3 linked regions of the Nothobranchius furzeri genome follow. The protein of the gene in region 2 purifies or fractionates together with the protein of the main gene of each other region. This does not show direct contact. Links are inferred from orthologs where the notes say so. Each region holds a gene or a part of one and is shown on either strand. Other genes may lie near its edges. The genes, in order: proto-oncogene tyrosine-protein kinase Src, stat1a and irf9.

Evidence for each region.
Region 1: the proteins of stat1a (region 2) and proto-oncogene tyrosine-protein kinase Src purify together in Homo sapiens (affinity purification with western blotting; 3 studies listed by BioGRID). This does not show direct contact. The link is inferred for Nothobranchius furzeri from reciprocal best matches to the Homo sapiens genes STAT1 and SRC.
Region 3: the proteins of stat1a (region 2) and irf9 purify together in Homo sapiens (affinity purification with western blotting; 5 studies listed by BioGRID and IntAct, with this or other methods). This does not show direct contact. The link is inferred for Nothobranchius furzeri from reciprocal best matches to the Homo sapiens genes STAT1 and IRF9.

The regions. Positions count from the first base shown.
Region 1 is NC_091743.1:58,648,892-58,655,393, forward strand, and holds part of proto-oncogene tyrosine-protein kinase Src, read left to right. Parts: intron 1-2,269; exon of another isoform or gene 2,270-2,363; intron 2,364-3,050; 5' UTR 3,051-3,058; coding exon 3,059-3,332; intron 3,333-6,502. UniProt on the Homo sapiens protein: Non-receptor protein tyrosine kinase which is activated following engagement of many different classes of cellular receptors including immune response receptors, integrins and other adhesion receptors, receptor protein tyrosine kinases, G protein-coupled receptors as well as cytokine receptors.
Region 2 is NC_091743.1:83,712,644-83,719,145, forward strand, and holds part of stat1a (signal transducer and activator of transcription 1a), read left to right. Parts: intron 1-1,859; 5' UTR 1,860-1,862; coding exon 1,863-1,990; intron 1,991-5,752; coding exon 5,753-5,897; intron 5,898-5,983; coding exon 5,984-6,079; intron 6,080-6,165; coding exon 6,166-6,252; intron 6,253-6,334; coding exon 6,335-6,413; intron 6,414-6,502. UniProt on the Homo sapiens protein: Signal transducer and transcription activator that mediates cellular responses to interferons (IFNs), cytokine KITLG/SCF and other cytokines and other growth factors.
Region 3 is NC_091747.1:62,724,300-62,730,801, forward strand, and holds the end of irf9 (interferon regulatory factor 9), read left to right. Parts: intron 1-2,881; coding exon 2,882-3,012; intron 3,013-3,098; coding exon 3,099-3,186; intron 3,187-3,316; coding exon 3,317-3,376; intron 3,377-3,448; coding exon 3,449-3,838; intron 3,839-3,917; coding exon 3,918-4,033; intron 4,034-4,336; coding exon 4,337-4,468; 3' UTR 4,469-4,989; downstream 4,990-6,502. Other genes in the region: emc9 (ER membrane protein complex subunit 9), read right to left, coding at 5,581-5,761, 5,975-6,069, 6,169-6,238, 6,314-6,390.

The sequences.
Region 1 (6,502 bases), about 25 Mb from region 2:
CAGCTCGGCACATCTCTGTCTGATCGCGGCTTCTGTCTGCTGCGCGGGCTGCCGGCTTGTGGAGCTCTGAGATGGTAACCTTTGCACCCGGTTCTCCCCAGCGGCAGCTCTGCGCATCTCAGATCGCAGCGGCAAAACAAAAACAAATGTACCAAATCGGCACTCAACAGAAGTCGTAGCCTAGGGCTTCTAATGCTGCTGTTTACAAACTGGAAGTCTGTCTCCAAACGGAGTACAGATGAGCAGTAGCTTCTTTTGTCTTTCTTAAGTTGCACAAACATCTGTCTAAACGTCACCCTCAGCTCCTCCTCTCTTCCCTTTTATGGAATTGTCTGGGCTTGACGGAACCTTTGACACAGTCAAAATGGCGGTGGTGGCTACCTCCCATTTTAGCAGAAAAACTTGTTATTGAAGCCTATGGAAACCCATTGTCCATATATTTATGTAGATGGTTTTACTCCCTTTTTTTTTGTTTCCCTCCATCCATAGTTAGGAGCACCATGGTTGTAAAGCTAAGAGAAAAAAAATGAACCAAAATTCACAACGTGTCCAGCATCAATGCAGCCTTTTAATTTTTCTGCTTATCTTATTCAAGCTCTAAGACAAAGTGATCAACAAACATAATAGTTCAGAAGTCAGGATTCTGAGGTTTTTCTGAGAATAAAGTCTGAGATCTTTGTTTCTCTTCTGCTAGTGTCTACTCTAGAGATCATTTCTTGAAACAAACACTTTTGCAAAAGGAGTTTGGATATTTTTTTTTCATGGCATGTTGAGATTTGTTGGAAATGAAACAAATAAAACACAGATATAAAAATACTTCTGGTATTTTTAGTGCTGTTGCTGTGGAACTTCAATTCCATAAAAAAAACTGAAAACAACTTAAATCTGCATTTTTTAAAATTGTTTTTATGAACATGGGTCAGTTGTATTTCTCTCATTTGTAGTCATAGTTATTAAGAACCATTATGGAAGGTCCAGAGAGCCACTTGTGGCTCCAGAGCCGCTGGTTAGAGACCCCTGGGTCAGTTTAATGTGTCTGTTTCGAGCCCAAGCTAGCTTGAGCTCTCACCCTGCTGCTGTTCCACCCCTCATCTAGATCATCCAGTTTGGCTTTGATGCATACTGGGAAAAAACATTTCAGGAATGTATCCTTGCCTGTTTCCAGATCAATCTGAGTGGTTGTCATGCTTGAGTAAACGGTGACTCATGTGTCATGTTTAGGAGCTCATTTGCACGCAGGCTTTCAGGTGAACATGGATGTAAAAGCAAACATGTTCTTTTGTCATCAGAGGTTATTTACAGCCTTGGAAGAACTTGTTGTTGCTTCTCATGTCCCACTAGATGTTGCAACATCTGTATCTGCTGAGAATTTCTCGTCTGTTCTTGATCCTTTCATGTTTTTTGTGTTTAGGCCCTTTAAAGTGAGCTCACTTTAGGTAGGCACCACCCACTGACAGTGCAGACGCATACTGATGAAGCAACATAGTAATCAGTCTAAATCATAGTATTTTTCCTACTTTCTTAGCTCTCTGTATGAGGTGCTATTATCTAGCCCTGCGCTCATACACAGCCTGAAATGACCTTTAAGAGGATTTTTGCATACATTCCTGATATGCATGAGCATCCTACCTATTTGCTTGTATTGGCAGTCTAGGTGTGGCACGTGTGCCTCTGGTAAGTTTTAAACCAGTGTTGACTTAGTTCTTAATAGTGTTGACTTAGTTCTTAATGCCTAATGCGAAAGCTGACCCCTGACCCCCACCCCCACGTTGACATTTGTGCACATTCACGCTCCCTCAGAAGCTGAGTCGCCCACATGTCTTCTCAGTGGGATGCTGCCATGTCTCTGAGAATTCCCATACCTGTGTAATTATGTTATGCTCACACATCACACTTTAAACACCCACTAAGCCTCAGCTGTCCGGGCAGTACATAACAACCACCCACACGTTCTTTTTAAAGCCACAGCCAGTTTCCTTCCTCCGTGTCTGTTAATAACCTCCCCTGTCCTGTCCTGTCTGTCTGTCTGTCGGTGTGTGTTGGAAACTATCAAGTGTTGGAAAGGAAAAAAGGATGTGAGACACAACTGTACTTGGGTGCTAGTGTGCAGCTGAGCCTAGTTTCCTAGATGCGAGGGAACAGCTGCTAATGCACATGAACACACACACCCACCCCTATGCACTTTGGCGCGCTCTTGTCTGGAATCGAGAGTGCTTTAATTCAGAGGAACAAGACTGTGTTTCATGTGTGTATGACTGTCTTGTTTCAGCTGGCCTGAAATAGCTGGTCTCCCAGTGAGTCACTCCACAGAGCCTGAAGGGGAGGAACAGAACCGGTGTGCGAACAAGGCTCTCCAACTTTCTGTGGGTGCTCTTGACTGTGAGCTTGTTTGTCTTTGTGCTTACTGACAGCACACCCTCGACTCGCTGCGTTTATCGGGATGTAACAGATATATTTGACACCTCTGTGCCCTTGTCGGCTCACCAGCATTAATACTTTGCGTCGTTGAGACCCATGGCTGCTTTCTGTTTACAGCTTTGTTTACCTCGTTGATGCTTATTGATTCCAACTTGATTTAAACCGTTAAGCACGACCTTGGATTCTGATTGTGTGTGTGGTTTGTGTCTACTGTAAACGCAAGCAGTTCTAACTGACCTGGGAACAGCTCCAGGGATATTCTGGTGGATCGGGAGAGCTGGAATAAATGTGTTGACTGATTTGCCAACTTTTGGGGGGGGGGGGGGGGGGGGGTAAATATGTTAAAAGTTCCTGAGGAAAATCCTTTAAAACCATATTTCTTTGCTTTAAAGAAGACTAATAATTTTAACCACAGTGAAATCCAGTTTTACTGAATGTTTTTGTGTTTCATTACATGATGAAACACAAAAAAATGTGTTTCTTATAAAAAAAACACATTTAAAATGAAAGAAAAATGCATAACAAAGCTGAGAGACCCTTCATTTGCATAAAAATTGATTTTTGACGCTTTTACTTTTTGTAGCAGCTTTTGGTCTTACCGTATCCTTTCTGATGGTTGGCTCTTGTTCCAGGTCTGCACATGGGGGCGGGCAAAAGCAAGCCCAAGGAGCCAGGCCAGCGCTCCATGAGCCTGGACGGGACCATAGGCACCGGCTCCGATAGCGGACGCTTCCACCACTTGGACTCCACTCAGCAGACCCAGACCCCCAATCGAAGCCCTGCTGTTGGGACGGGCCGTCGGGGACAACAAGGGCAGCGCCAGCTTGCCCCGACAAATACCCCTGAACTGTCTCTCTTTGGAGGAGTGGACCACACGGGAAGTGTCATATCACCCTACAGAGGACTGCTGTCAGGTAGGAAATTAGATTGTGGCAGGTTTTTGTAAAACAAAGAGGTTTAGAAAGCTGAATATAGACCTAATAAATGGTTAAATTAAAACATACAGAATTCTTCTGTAAAAAATGATCTAGATTTAGTTAAAAATACATTTCAGATATAATCAGAATCAGAATGAATTTTATTGCCAGCGCTCAGATCAGATCAGAGCATAGGAACTTGACTCCATAGTACAACCTGACCAAGGTTACACACACATATATAGACAGGACAGATACAGGCAGACAGGCATAAATTAAATTATTTTTGGTTCAGATTAAAGCTTTACACCTCAACCATCCTCCCCTTAATTCTGGTGTTCCCCCTGCCTCTGTACTTGGATCTCTCCTGTTTATCATCTACCTCTTCCTTAAATTGACAATATTTTCCATAAAGATGACATTCAATACCAACATAGATGTAGCATAGAGGACACTCAGATCTACAGTGCTCAGCATAAATGAGTACACCCCCTTTTAAAAAGTATGAATTTAATTAGTTGCTTAATGAACAAAAGAACCATTTCCAGAATTTTGGCTGGGATTTATTGAACACTTGTCTAACTCCTTAAAATTAAATGAAGCTTTATAATATAACATAGATCACACAAACTTTTACTAAAATTGGTTGAAGCAAAAAGTGAATACACCCCCAACAAAATCTACTACATCTAGTATTTTGTAACACCACCATGATTTTCAAGGACAGTACCAAGTCTTCTAGGCATGGAATGAACAAGTTGGCGACATATTGCAACATCTGTCGTTTTCTATTCTTCAAGAATAACCTCGTTTAGAGCCTGGATGCTGGATGGAGATTGAGGCTCAACTTGCTGCTTCAGAATTCTCCACAGGTGTTTGATTGGGTTCAGATCAGGAGACATACTTGGCCATTCAAGCACCTTCACCCTGTTCTTCTTCAGAAATGCAACAGTAGCTTTAGATGTGTGTTTTGGTTCATTGTCGTGTTGGAATAGCCTGGCAAGCCAGACTAAATAAATGTATTATTTAGTCTGGCCATGCTCCGTTGACGGCTCTCGGTTGTGGGGCGGGTTCTACCGTTGTCTTTCAAATGATCTCCGCATTCCACTGGACAATGAATGTGACATACTCTTGTTTCACTCTGTGGCATCATCCCACCCACCAGGCATATAGAGTGCCCTGATTGGCCCACAAAGCGGATAAAGCTCTGTGATTTGTTCACTAAGCAGATAGAGCACTATGATTGGCCCACCATTATGGACCAATCACAGCTCTTTATGTGTTTGAAACCCCTCTAGAGAGCTGTGATTGGCCAGCCAGAGTCCTGGTAGGAGCTGCTGAGGTTCCAATGGAGCGTGTCTAGACCATTCTTTGCAAAGCAAGAATTTGGTCTAGTTCACTAGGCTAGTGTTGGAAAAGTGATTGCAGCATCTTCTCCTTCAGAATAGAGTAGTACATTGTTGAGTTCATGATACCAGCACCCCAACACCAGCAGCACTCATGCAGCCCCACATAAGGACACTGCCACCACCGTGTTTCACTGTAGGCACCATGCATTTCTCTTTGAAATCCTCACCTTTACAACAGCACACAGTTTTGAAACCATTAGTTCCAAAAACTGATCTTTGTCTCATCACTCCAGAGTCTGGAGTCCCAGTAGTCAATCTTTTTCAGCATGGGCCCTAGCAAATACTTGGAGTGTTTTTTTGTGCATGGGCTTTAGGAGGAGCTTCCTTCGTGGACAATACCCATGCATGCCATTCCTCTGCAGTGTGCGCCGTATGGTGTCACAGGAAACGGTCTGCTATAGCTAACTGTAGTGAACTTGCATGGCGATTTTCTTCAACCCTTCTTATCAGAAGATGCTCCTGTCGAAGTGTTAACTTGTATAGATGGCCTGGACGTCTCTGTAAGATGGTTGCTCTTCCATCTTTCTTAAACTTTGGATCATTTTGCTACAGTATTTTGATTGATATGTAAAGCTTTGCTGATCTTCTTGTAGCCTTCACCTTTTTTGTGTAAAGAAATGATTTCTTTCTCAGATTTTGTTATTTCTCTTCCATGTGGCGCCATTGCTGACAGTATGAAATGGGAACAGCTTTTCTTTGCTAGGTAATGCATTTAGATAGTCACCTGTCTGCTGGACACCTCTTAAATGAATCATTAGACTCACCTGTGGTTGAATGCCTGTTCATTAGAATTTTGTAGTCTTAAGTGTGGCTTTTTTCCTAAGACTATAATTGGGGTGTACTCATTTTTGCAACATGGGCTGGAATGGATTTGTTAGCAAAATCCCTTTTTTGTGTGTGGAAATGGACAAATCTTATTTGCAATCAATGGCCCACATTTGCGGGAGTGCTACAGGTCCTTTAAAAAAAATTAGCATATTGTGATAAAGTTCATTATTTTCTGTAATGTACTGATAAACATTAGACTTTCATATATATTAGATTCATTACATACAACTGAAGTAGTTCAAGCCTTTTATTGTTTCTAATATTGATGATTTTGGCATACAGCTCACGAAAACCCAAAATTCCTATCTAAAAAAATTAGCATATCATGAAAAGGTTCTCTAAACGAGCTATTAACCTAATCCTCTGAAACAACTAATTAACTCTAAACACCTGCAAAAGTTTCCTGAGGCTTTTAAAAACTCCCAGCCTGGTTCATTCCTCAAAACCGCAATCATGGGTAAGACTGCCGACCTGACTGCTGTCCAGAAGGCCATCATTGACACCCTCAAGCAAGAGGGTAAGACACAAAAAGAAATTTCTGAACGAATAGGCTGTTCCCAGAGTGCTGTATCAAGGCACCTCAGAGGGAAGTCTGTGGGAAGGAAAAAGTGTGGCAGAAAACGCTGCATAATGAGAAGAGGTGACCGGACCATTAGGAAGACTGTGAAGAAGGACCGATTCCAGACCTTGGGGGACCTGCAGATGCAGTGTACTGAGTCTGGAGTAAAACATCCAGAGCCACCGTGTACAGGTGTGTGCAGGAAATGGGCTACAGGTGCCGCATTCCCCAGGTCAAGCCACTTTTGAACCAGAAACAGCGGCAGAAGCGCCTGACCTGGGCTACAGAGAAGCAGCACTGGACTGTTGCTCAGTGGTCCAAAGTACCTTTTTCGGATGAAAGCAAATTTTGCATGTCATTCGGAAATCAAG
Region 2 (6,502 bases):
CTGCCAAATAAATAAACAAAAACATAAACAGCGAATTTGGGAGGCGCTTCACAGCCCAACTTAATTAGCATACCAAGTCCGACACGTAGTTGTATATTCACGCTTATGTGCTTAAAGGAAAACTCCCGTTTATTGCAACCCAGACTTAATTTCTAGCATGCAGTATGTTTGTTTACTCACGCTGACAACTTTGGTGCTACTTGGATTCCCCGGAGTATTTAGATCCGTCGGCGAATCGCCGTCAGCGTATATCCATATAACGGGTGCGGACGGGCACCCATGGTGCAGCCTCGAAATAAAACATTATCTGCACCAAAACATCTCAATGTCGAAAGGTTTTGTTAGGAATCATTAACGTGATTCCCCTGTTCGTTTGGAGCGAGTCTGGGATTTCTAGGCGTAAACAGACTAGCCGCGGCTAATCTAACCGGCGCTTTTAATGACGTCACCGCCGTGCGCCAATCTGTTTTTATTAGATTACCGGTAGATGTACCTTTGTCCTACTGTGGAGAAATTCGTTTTCTCCCTTTATTGACCAACAGAGTTGTTCAGAAGTACAGAACAAAACATATGGCATTACAGCTTATGACAAAAATGCACCTTAAACAGAGTTTAAGCAGCAAAACATCACTCTGCAAATAGTGTATATATAGTGAGACAATTCATGATTTAAAGTGTTAACTTTCGCCAGTTTTTGTATGCATGTTTTAAAAAATGCTGATACTTGAAAGGTTTAAGCACTTAATGCACTTAATTCTTAACATTTAATTTTTGCAATATAAATTGAGGAATGTTATTTTTGAATAAACTTGTTCAATAAATTGGTGTTTTCAAATAGTATCAAAATCGAGTAGAGTTTTTTTCCAGTATCGAATCGAGTTTGAAATTTTAGTATCGTGACAACCCTACTCCACATACCTATTTCATGATCATTTTTAACTCAGAAGTACCCCTGAAGGACTTAGTTGTTCATCCTTTTATCAAAACTTATTTTGAGCCTGAGAGGGTTAATCATTTAGTCCAGTTGATGATACATTAAACTGAAGGTGGGGGAAAGTCATTTAATCATTACATTTGCAGTGGTCTGGTAGGAATGAATGCCTAGTAAGTCGTACTCGGAGGAAAATAAAGCCCAGAAATGCTTGGATCAGCACGGGCAAGTCTGCTGCCTCAGAGAGGGGCAGCAGACTGTCTATCAGAAGCTAATGCAGGAGATAGGTGTTGGAGACTATTTTCAGGTTCAGCCTGCATGAAAATCTCAGCGTGACCGATTATAATCAGAAATAATCATGTAAGATATTTTTCAGTGGTTTTCCAGGCCCAATCCCAATACTCGTACTTCCACAATTGCACTCTTCAATTGCGCAATCCTGACCAAGGGTGCGAGTGCGTAAAGTGTCCCGGTTCTCAAGTGCGGAAGTTGACCATACCCCTTTTGCACCCTTGATCTGCGCTTCACCCAAGTCCGCATCAATCCAAACTTGGGTGAAGTTTATTACCCACAATCCATTGCTTAGGGAGAAAAGGCTCAAGTGCCTTTTAAATATGTATTTTCAAATTAAAATACTTCATTTTAGGACGATTAGTTGATGCTCTGAATGTTTTAGACAAAGCAGCAATCATTGTAAATGTATTTAAAATAATTGTTTGAAAATTGTTAAAAACAATAAAAATAAACTTTATTAAGTAGCACAGCGACCAGCATCCCAGCATGTGTTGCGGTTGCTTACACAATGCTCCCTGTCGCAATTCTGCAATTATTTGCTCACTTAACACCTTAATGCGTTTATTGGGATTGGGCCTCAAGCTCTTTGTCCCCTAATTTCCTAATTTATCATGCACCTGCTCTTGTTCACCAGAAGATGGCGCAGTGGGTCCAGCTTCAGATGTTGGACTCTAAGTACCTGGAGCAGGTGGACCAGCTGTACGACGACTCCTTCCCCATGGACATCCGACAATATCTGAGCAGGTGGATTGAGAGCATCGACTGGTAAGAAGTCCAACCCTAGATGGAAAATCACTGTCCGGGTAGAAAACTAAATAAGGGGCTGCTGCGTCCCTGCAAATCATGTTGTCCCCTTTGGTCAGCTGATCAGCTGCTTCTGAGAGTGATATGGATGAAGCGTAATAGGGCTGCAACAACGAATCGATAAATTCGATGAAAATCGATTACTAAAAGCGTTGGCAACGAATTGCGTCATCGATTCGTTGTGTCGCACAACTCTTCCAAAAGCCCCCCCTCCTGGCCGCCATTGCGCGCAGACTGGAGCAAGTCAGATCAGCGCGAGGGAGAGCCGGCAGGTGTTTGGAAGAGGAACATGGCAGAAGCAGCAAGACCCAAAAAAGTAAAAACTTCTAAAGTTTGGGAGCATTTTCAGTTAAATCAGGCGAAGACATTCGTTACCTGCAACGTTTGTAGGTCAGACTTAGCATGGCACGGGAGTACTGCAGTGATGATGCAGCATCTTAAAAGCAAGCATGTCGGAATCATCAGCGAGGAGGGAGAGAGCTCTTTGTCCGGGTAAGTTAAAAACTTTTCAAAAGTGATTCACCCAAGTCCCGGATTATTACACAGGCTAGACATGCCCTAAGCTCGTTAAAAAAAGTCTATAAAATCGTAAGCGCAACGCTATTAGATAAAGGGGGGGGGGGGGGGGACTCGCGCTGCTGCGAACCGGTTCCGCCGTCACATTCCCGCAGAAACTGGTTGATCACACCGGGGCCAGACTACTAGCACCACAATGTCCTCAGAAGCGAAAACGCTTTTAAAAGGGAGGGAGGAGTCCTAACTGTTGCTGCAGGCGTGTTGTGTGAGAGTGCAGTTATTTACTGGTTAATATATTTTTGGGTTCAGTTGCTTTCATGTGGCCTAATGTGAGTCTATTTGGGATCATTGGAATGATCAGCAGCATTTCTTGATGTGACTTTATGGCAGTTGCCCAGGGCATCATCGTAAGGAGGATGGCATTCATTTACTTTTGTTTTATTTGGTATTTTTTCAGTCATTTTTGGAAATAGTGATTAATTTTGATTAATTCACAGCCTATGTTTAATTACATTTAAAAATTAGTTGTTTAACATCCCCAATTATAATAAATGTCTGCAGATGAGATCAAACAAAACAGATGAGAATTGCCCTTAAAGAGCAAGTCACCCCCAAATAAACTTTATTTTTTGCTGATAAACTAAATAAATGAGTGTCTAATCGTGCTGCAGACACGTGTCGTCAATAATTTGGCACTTCAGTGTAGGGCTGCTCAATTAATCGAATTTTAATCACGATTACGATCTGAGTTTTGAACGATTATAAAAAACAAAACAAGCCGATTATTTGCTCCTCCCACTTGCGCTGCCCTGAGTTGCAAATGAAGCGCTCCTCACAGTGTTGCCAACTTAGCGACTTTGACGCTATTTCTAACAGCTTTTTAGACCCCCTTCTTGACTTTTTAAATCTTAAAAGTACCTAGCGAACATCTCAGAAACATCTCTGGTAACCTTTAGCTACTTTCAGGATAACTGTCGTTGATGTTTCCTGCAGGTTAGCTAAACACTCTGCCTGAGCTCCGGACCGTTCTTCACAACATTAGGAAAGGGAATGATGTAGTGATGTGTCGGTCGCTACAGAAACGGCTCTCAGAGTTGGCTCTGTTGGATTAACCAGAGTGAGTGACACACACACTGTAACTTCTGAGCCGCTAAAAACGGCTAAATGTGCGCGTGCGGCGCGCTAAACACACGTGCAGCTTGCCCCTGATTGCTGTGAGACCGGGTTGGGAGGTGGGGGGTGCAGCTGTGGTTGGGACAATTATTACATTAACTGATGGACTTGTAAATAACTAGTTTATAAATAAGGTAGAAATAAGTTCCTCACGCTGATAAACAATAACTAATCTCTCTGAGGAGACAGTGCTAGTGCACGCTCCTACAGCACCTTGACACGACTCAATAAATGTTATACAACATTTTGTGAACATCAATTTATTTGCATTTATTTGTTATAAATGCCACTGTATAATTCTTGCTGTCAGTATTTGCAAGATATTGGTATTTGGGTCTGTACTGGTTAGACTTATATGAGTTAAACCAAGGTCTATAGCCCTTGTGTCATAAACTATGAGCTGTAAGTATATTGGTCTTTTTATACTGGGAATCAGGAGTTATTTTAGTGATCATCTTGTTTCTTATCACACACCAGCTCAGTGGTCTAGTGGTAGAGTGTCCGCCCTGAGACTGGGAGATCAGGGTTCGATTCCTGGTCGGGTCATACCAAAGACTTTGAAAAAATGGGACCCAATGCCTCCCTGCTTGACACTCAGCATTAAGGGTTGGATTGGAGGGTTAAACCACCAAATTGTTCCCGAGCGCGGCTGTGTCTGCAGCTCACCGCTCCCCCAGGGGATGGGTCAAATGCGGAGAACAAATTTCGCACACACATCAGTGTGTGTGACAACTAATGGGACTTTAACTTTAACTTTATTTTGTCCTGATTGTGCCCTGAGCAATTTTATGACTGAATAAAAACAAATAAAATCAACATAAATAGAAAAATCGTCTTAAATAATCGAGATCTCAATTTCAGTCACAATAATCGTGATTATTATTTTTGCCATAATCGAGCAGCTCTACTTCAGTGCATCTTAGTTCAAATTTAAATATTCTGCCTAAAACTGGCAGTGTTGTGCCGTTGTCAGGTAAAAACTCTGCACTGTATTTTAATTTAAATCTGCCACCGCTATTGGCTAAGAAGTATGCTATGATGTAAACTGGTACATTATGATGTCACAATGCTGTCGTGAGCCTGAGTGTGTGTGTATTTGTTAGCGGCTCCGCCCTCTCGGTCTGCCAGGCAACAGCATTTGTTGCATTTTTCAAACATGAAGTGGGAGTGGAGTTAGACTCTGGTAGGGGTTGACTTGCTCTTTAAGCTGTTTAACTTGGACCAAGCATTTTAGGTCACAGATAGGTGTAGCTTAGGGTCTCTGCCTATACACCTTGTAAGACAATTTAGGTGATGGCATGTTGTTTTTCTGCTATTGAACTGTTTTCTAATAATGTTGTGTTTAATAAAGTGAAGGAAGGAGAGAAATAACGTTTCCCTAGCAGTTTTTAAAATTGTCCCTATGTAATCCGATTAATCGTGTCGAGACCCCATCCGATTCATCGATTATCCAAATAATCGTTTGTTGCAGCCCTAAAGCGTAAGTCAGTGTTTCCCCTAGAATTGTTGCCAGTCATGTCGCCTGGGTTCTGCTCGCAAAATGCTACAATGCTGCGTCTCCTGTGGGGGGTGTCTCGTAGATGTGGTGCTAGAATTTCAGCCGTGGTGCAGCTCCACTCCTGCGCCTATGCAGGAGAAACTGTAAGTTCAGTGGAGACCATGTCTTTGCTTTAACTGCTCCTGAATTATGGAACCACCTTCCCTTGGACATCAGGCAGTCCTCAACCCCATCTTGTTTAACCCTAACCCTACAAAAGGCATTAGCTTTAAATTGTTTTTCTTTTTTTTTTTATTAAACTTTTCATTTTTATCTTGACTGATTGCATAATTATTTTTCCTTACTTGTAGGTCTTTTTGCTGTAACTATTTTTATTACGTAGCCTGTTTTATTATTTTTCTACACATCACTTTGGTGCTGTAGGTGTTTAAAATGTTTTATAAATAAAGCTTTTATGAACGGTGCCCTTCAACATCTGGCGTAACCGTGGTGGGACCTCTGTAAGATAACTCCGTTGTTGTTTTGGATCTTCTTAGGGATACGGTGGCATCACAGGACTCCCTGGCAACTGTTCGGTTTCACGAGCTCCTGGCTCAGCTGGATGATCAGCACAGCCGCTTTGCTCTGGAGAACAACTTCCTGCAGCAGCACAACTTCCGTAAGATCAAGAGGAACCTGCAGGTCAGAGCCCCACGTTCTCTACTCGTGTCAGAGTGAGTTAAAACTAAGAAAGTGACTGCGTAAACATGGAGCACTTGTTTCTCCAGGATCGGTTTCAGGAGGACGCCCTCCATATGGCCATGATCATCTCCAGAAACTTGAAAGAGGAGCAGAAGATCTTGGCCAATGCAAAGGATTCTGTGGTAAGACCTGCAGCTAGACTCTGCTTTAATCCATCTAGATTTTATTTAAAGATGCTTTAATCATGAATTTGACAATGCTTCTGCAGCAGGAGAAGGAGGGGACGGTTTCAGCCATGGTGGTGGAGAAGCAGAAGCTGGACAACAAAGTGAAGGAGATGAGAAACATTGTTCAGGTGAAACAAACACGTTTCAGCCACATTTAAATAATCTCTGCTGTTCCTTTACCACAGCTAAAGGAGAGTTTCCTTTGTTCAGATTATCGACCAGAACCTGAAGAATCTGGAGGACCAGCAGGATGAATACGATTTCCAATTCAACACGCTGAAGAACAGAGGTAGGAAAGTGCAGATGACCCAGAAGAACAAGGAAACTTAGACTGAAGTGGCTTGTTCTGATGTTTGAGTGAAGCTGATGTCTGGTTAT
Region 3 (6,502 bases), on a different chromosome or scaffold from region 2:
TCTTGTAGATTACCGACAGAGGACACCCCCAGAGACCGTGGGTTCTTTTTAAGTTCCTCGCAGTGAGAAACGAATTTTATTCCACACACAGATGAAAAAGCAGAAAAAGATATATCATCCAGTTCCCGTCCCAGCGGGTCACACAGACAAAACTCTCTTCCACCAAAAACACCCTCTCCTAAAAACTCTCAGAAGCCTCTCTCCAAAAAGCTCAGTCCTCCTTTTGATTCACTCTGTTCCTCCTCCCCTCTGCATTCTTCAAGGGTTGCATCTCCATGGCAACACCCCCATCCTGCTTCTGGAGCTCAACGTCTGGTCACGTGTTTCCTCTCCTCCGGCAGGCTCTGCTGGCTGTGGTCCGAGCCAGCCCATGTCGTCTCTCCTTGGGCTCTGGTGACCTAGCCCAACGTTGCCCCTTCTTCTTCTCAGCCTCCTTTATGGTTGTGGGGGGGGGGGGGGGGGGGGGGGGGGGGGGACAGTAAATCTTCTCTCCTTCTTGCTTGTTAGTGGGCTTATCGATTCTAAGAGTCCACGATCTGTTCCTATAACACCATTAGCTCATTTGCACCTGGATTCTTATCCAAGATAAGGGATACCCCTCTTGCCCCCTCCCGTCTCAGGAAGTCAAGAGGTTACAACAGAACCGTGGGACCGAACCAGTGAAAGGCACGTCTTTAGCAAACACACACACACACACACACACACACACACACACACACACACACACACACACACACTTTTTAAACAAAGGAAAGCAGCCAGCATGATTTGGTTTTATCATAACTGAGAATGAATCCAGACTTGATCTTGTTTACTTCACAAGTCTGAGTCCATCAGCTGGGATGAGTTATACCAGAGCTCGGTTCTGGTCTGGAGTATCAGATAAACGTTAAACGCGGAGTGCTGCTGCGGTCTCATGAACACCAGCCATGGCAGACGTTCGTTTCCTGTTTCTGTCTGAGCGGCTCCTGATCACGATGTTTGTCTGTGACGTAGTTTACGAGTCAGGCCCGTTTCTGTCGAGTCAGCTGAAGCTCCAGGCAGACGTGTTGGGATCAGATCAGCTGGGTGGACTTTAGCCGTGTTCTGGGAGGCAGGTCTTTATTCACGCAGGGCGTCAACCTACCAACCAGCTCGGGTTTATGATGCAGCGGCTTCCACGAGTCAGGCTCAGCTGGTCGGTGACTCAGCCACGAGTTTTGTTTTTATACAGTCAAATAAGAGAAAAGGGATTATTTACTCCATCGGGTAACCTGATACTTTATTTTTTAAACTTTATTAAAACGGGGCAAGTCGGGCTTTAATGATAAAAAATTATTAATAATAAAAAATGAGCCGCACTTGTGTAGCGCCTCTCAGAGTCAGGACTCCAAAGTGCTTTACACTACAGTGCATCATTCATCCATTCACACACACATTCACACACTGGTGGGGATGAGAGGCGAGGCTGCCGAGCACAGGCGCCACCGGTCCCTCCGACCACCGCCAGCAGGCAAGGTGGGTTAAGTGTCTTGCCCAAGGACACAATAGCAGAATTCTCTGTCCGGAGCCGGGATCGAACCTGCAACCTTCCGATTACTGGACAACCCGCTCTACCTCCTGAGCTACTGCTGCTTTATAATAATAAAAAAAGTGAAACTTTAAGATAACAAAGCTGAATTTTACTCACACTCCCTCGTGTTGCTTTTTATGCACTGATCGGGGCAGTGGGCCGATACCGATTTTTGCTAATGATTTAAGTCTCTGATCGAGTTTAAAAAGATGATTCTGGAAGCAAACTTCCATGAAGACGACCTGAATTGTTCTGATAAGTTAGTTCTTAGGGAAAATGTACGTTTATTAAAAACCATCACTGCTTCTTGGCAGAGGGGCGTTGGCGGTAAGACCCTTTGATCAGGCTGAATTAATTCATTAGATTTAGTGAATCTGATCATTTAAAACAAACCTTTTGAGTTTAGTTTCACACTTTTGCATCAAACAAGCAATTAACTACAAATAAGACCAAATATGAGGAGGTCTTTTGGGTGCTTGAAATGCTTGAAAGTTTATGAAAGTGCTTAAAAATGTGACATAAATGATTTAAAGGACAATAACAGATTTGTACTGAGCAAAGAAGTAAAAAAACAGGTTTTATATTTAAATTTCACCTTAAATTAGCTTAAATATTTTTGTGAAGATCTTAAAGGTTTTAGATAAGGTCTAAAAATAGTTTTTCTGACGTAAAAGTGAATAATTCTACTGTTTTGTGGTGTATTTTATTTTATTTTTTTTTTTGCTTTAAATATAAAATAATTGTTTGACCTCATCATGTCGGGCCTTTCCCAGCTCAACGACGCCCGACTCAAACAGAAACTAGAAGCGTCTGAGCCCAGAAAAGCTCCTCGTGGTAAATGGTCTGTATTTGATATGGCGCCTTCTAGAGTCCTGAACCCCCCAAGGTGCTTTACAACACAATCAGTCATTCACCCATTCACATACTGGTGGGAATGAGCTACGATGTAGCCACAGCTGCCCTGGGGCGCACTGACAGAGGCGAGGCGGCCGAGCACTGGCGTCACCGGTCCCTCCGACCACCACCAGCAGGCAAGGGGGTTAAGTGCCTTGCCCAAGGACACAACGACAGCGACAGACTAAGCGGGGCTCGAACCTGCAACCTTCCGATTACGGGGCGAGCTCTTAACTCCTGTGCCACCGTCGCCCCCTCACGACTCAAATGAAAGGATGTTTGTGATGGTCTGAGGAGCACAAACCCAGTTCTGTTGGATCCGATCTCAGCAGAAGGGAGGTTTTAAACAGAACCGGCACCGACTAAAGAATTTCATCTGCTTTCATTTTTTTATCAGCCATCATTTAAACAGTGGCTCGTCCGCTCTCGGTCCAGGTGTGGTGATACCGGAGAAGAAGACCAGAGAGAAGAGCAGCAGGAAGCTGAAGAGGAGGAAGAGCCAGCCTGACGACGAAGACTCCGGTCGGGTCAGACTGATAAAGACAGAAGAGGTCGCGTCTCAGCCGGTGAGTCCTTCGGTCATCTGCTGTTCGTGGGATTAAAGGTTCTGGAGTTCCTCTGGGTCGTCATCGTTTCTGTTTGTTCTGATCAGCTGTGTGTGGACGAGCCGCTGCTGCAGAACCACGAGCCCGTCCAATCAGAGGGCCCGTCTCGGTGCACCACCATCAGCACCGGAGATGGTGAGTTTCCATGGAAACCGTTTTTCCCGTCTACCTTTAGCTTCTCTCTTTAAACGGGACGTGACCTCTGACCTTCAGCGGGTTCTCGGAACCTGTTTGTGTGTCTGATTCGTCCATCTTCTGTCTGCAGCGCTGGATGAGATCCGGTTGGACGTGCGGATCGAGGAGAGCGTTCCCAGCGCAACAAGCGGTAAGAGGAGCTCAGGGGACGCCCGTGTCCTGGACGGGTTTTGGGTTTTAATTCGGTCCTGTGTCTCTACAGCTGACGACTCCTTCGATGTGGCGATTCGTTATTTAGGACAGGAAGTCCTCAGACGTCAGATCCAAGGCACAGATGTCCGGATAACGTACCTGCCTTCCTCCTCCGTCCCTCCGACTTTGGCCGCCCTGAACGCCAGGTTTCCTCGGATCCCGCTGCCGGAGCCGCCGTCCTCGCTGCTGGCCGGGCCCACGCTGCAGGCGCTCCACACGCTGCTGCCCTTCATGGAGAAAGGAATCGTGCTGACCTCCACGCCACAGGGAGTGTACGGGAAGAGGTTCTGCCAGGGCCGGATCTTCTGGATGGGACCTCACAGCGTCACGCCGGGCCCACACAGGATGGAGAGGAACACGGAGCCGGTGCTGCTCTTCAGCAAGGACGCCTTCAAGCAAGGTGAGCGGGGCGCGTTCACCCTGAATCGTCATGGAAACCACCACACACAGAGACAGATGTTTCTGTCATGTCTCCTCAGAACTGGACCGGTTCTGCTCCGCCGGTGGGGAGCGTCCCCAGACCAGCTTCAATCTGTGTTTCGGAGAAGAGCTGAACAACACGGAAGACCTGAGCAATAAGCTCATCATCGCTCAGGTAGAACCGCGGCTCAGCAGCCTACGTCACGCCGCAGGGCGTGGATTTCAGCCCGTTGTCATGGTTACGTGTGAAACGCCTCCAATAAGCAGCTCCATTTATAACAGTTATATTTATGGTAGACAGCAGGTGTGTAGGAGGGGTGGGACAGGTGTGGGCCTGCTGCAGGTGTGTGTGTTGGTGTTGGTAAGGATGAAGCCCCGGGTGTCCTTCAGGTGTTAGATGCTTCTCTGCTCACACACCTGGTGTCAGACCAACGGGCTCCTGTGGATCATCTAACTGAACCTGCCGTCTGCTCCGTAGGTCTCTCTCCCGTGGGCCGAACAACAAGTCCAGAACTCCGTCTCCTTCTTCGAAACCATCTCGGTGTTCCAGACGCTGGCGGGCCAGTCTCCTCTGGGTGAGATCACCCTGGACATCGTCACGGTGCCGTAGTCCTGCGCCTGCTCCGCCAAAAGATCTGCTGCAGCAAAACCCACCTGAAGCAGACGCAGCAGGAGCTCCGCCCAGAGACTCGATGGTTCCTGCTGTTGCAGTTTTTCTTTTACGTTTAATCCAATTTCACAAAAGGACGGAGAGAAGATCCAGTTTTTCAGTTTAAAGCTGAAAATGAGTGAAGCACCTTTAGTGGGAACACTACACGATAACCCGGGGCGTCGTTGGGATTCACCCAGGCTGAGATCTGGTGTCACTTTATTTTTGAGGTGCTTTTAACGGTCGGCCCAGGTTTGTCTGTGCTGCATCGGCAACTTCAGACGTTTAGAGTGAAGAAACCACAAAACCACGTGGGCAGTGAAAATGACGTTTTATTGTTGTTAAATGCTTTAGTTCTCTTTTATTAGCTTTTAGAAATGATCGTTTTTCTCCTCAGAATTTAGTTTTTACTGATTTTATCTGAAAATGTTCATTGAAAAAAGAAACATTAAAACCGGCGCTCCAACATAAAACATTTTCTGTGAAACTCGCCTCAGATATTACTTCAGCATTACTTTTACCGTCTTAGAGCTCAGACTATAATCTAGATTATAAAAGGTTCAGATTGTTACAGAAAGGTCAGTCGAGTTTAAATGAGACTTAAATGTCCTGCAGCAAATACTTTTACTCTTAAACCACGCAAGGAGTTTTTAAGGATCACACTAATAAAAATAAGTAATAAATACAAGCATAAGCTAAAACATAATCCTTTAATCTGGGGAAATTTGTAGGGAATAATAATTTCATGCAGGTTTGATGCGACAGTAAAAAGCTCCAGCAGCTGAATTCGTCTAATCTGTCGCTGCAGGACTTTTACGTTCGAGTTTTTGCTTTTCCAAGATGATAAATCAGGAAAACGGGACCAGAAATAAACAAGAGGAGTAGCTTTAGTTCTTAAGGTGGATTTAATCCACCTTAAAAAGGGGAGAGATGTAAATATTCTATTATTTATGCACGTTTGTCTTTGTTCAAACACAAATAAATCCTGTCCTGGACTCTGCGCTTGTGAAAATCCACCTTTACAGAACAACACGACAGGCAGGTTTTACCACGGAATGATGCGGCGTTCCCATCTAAATGTTCCCATTAACTGGAGAGCAAAGCTCTGCTATCTTGCTGTTGAGTTTCTGATTGGTCCAGTCCCTGGTGATGTCATCCAGGTGGCTGTCGAAGTCTACCAAGAGGGAGTGGTCACCAGAATCCAGCATCTGGCTGGCGACATCCCGGATCTCCTCCCACTGCCGCAGCATGATCCTGAACAGACCCACGGAGATCATCAGTTACACGCGCCGGCCACTTTGATAGGTACACAAATAACCGATCAGCCAATCAGAAGGTGGCAACTCCGTGAGTTTAGTCATACAGGTGTGATGAAGTTTAGTGCTCGGCTCACGTGAGCCTGGTTTAAACCACAGACTACCCGAGTGGTGGTGGTGAACCTCAGGCCACCCCCCCGCTGATTCTTACGTGTGTTTGTCTTTGAGCGTCCATCTTGAATCTTTGCGTTCGTACATGACGATCGGAGGAACTCGATAATCTGGAGACATTTTGCTGCCGTCGAGCTGTGAGGAAACAAACCTGATCATAATCTGAGGGCAGAAGGTTCATTATTCATGAAAGACTCATTTAATAAAAACGTTCTGTTTCATCCGTTTTCTCACCATTAATAAAACGGCTCCATCAAACTGCTCAGCGATCTTATCAGCGATCTTCAGCGCGCACGGCGTCGGGCTGTCAGGAAACGCAACACGTTAGCGAGCGGTGGTGGGGTGTATCTGACCATGTGACTGGTGTGGAGAAGCTCACCTGCTGTCTGAGGTGCAGGCGTTGGCCTGATAATACCCGACTATCCTCTGCTGAGTCTGAGAACACCAAACATCCACCTGGAAAAACAAAAGCTTGAAATGTTCTGTGGAAGTTTAAAACATCCTGGAGAATCGAGCGGGACTCCAGGAAGTCTGGAGAAATAAATCCTGATTAAACAGGATCCACCTT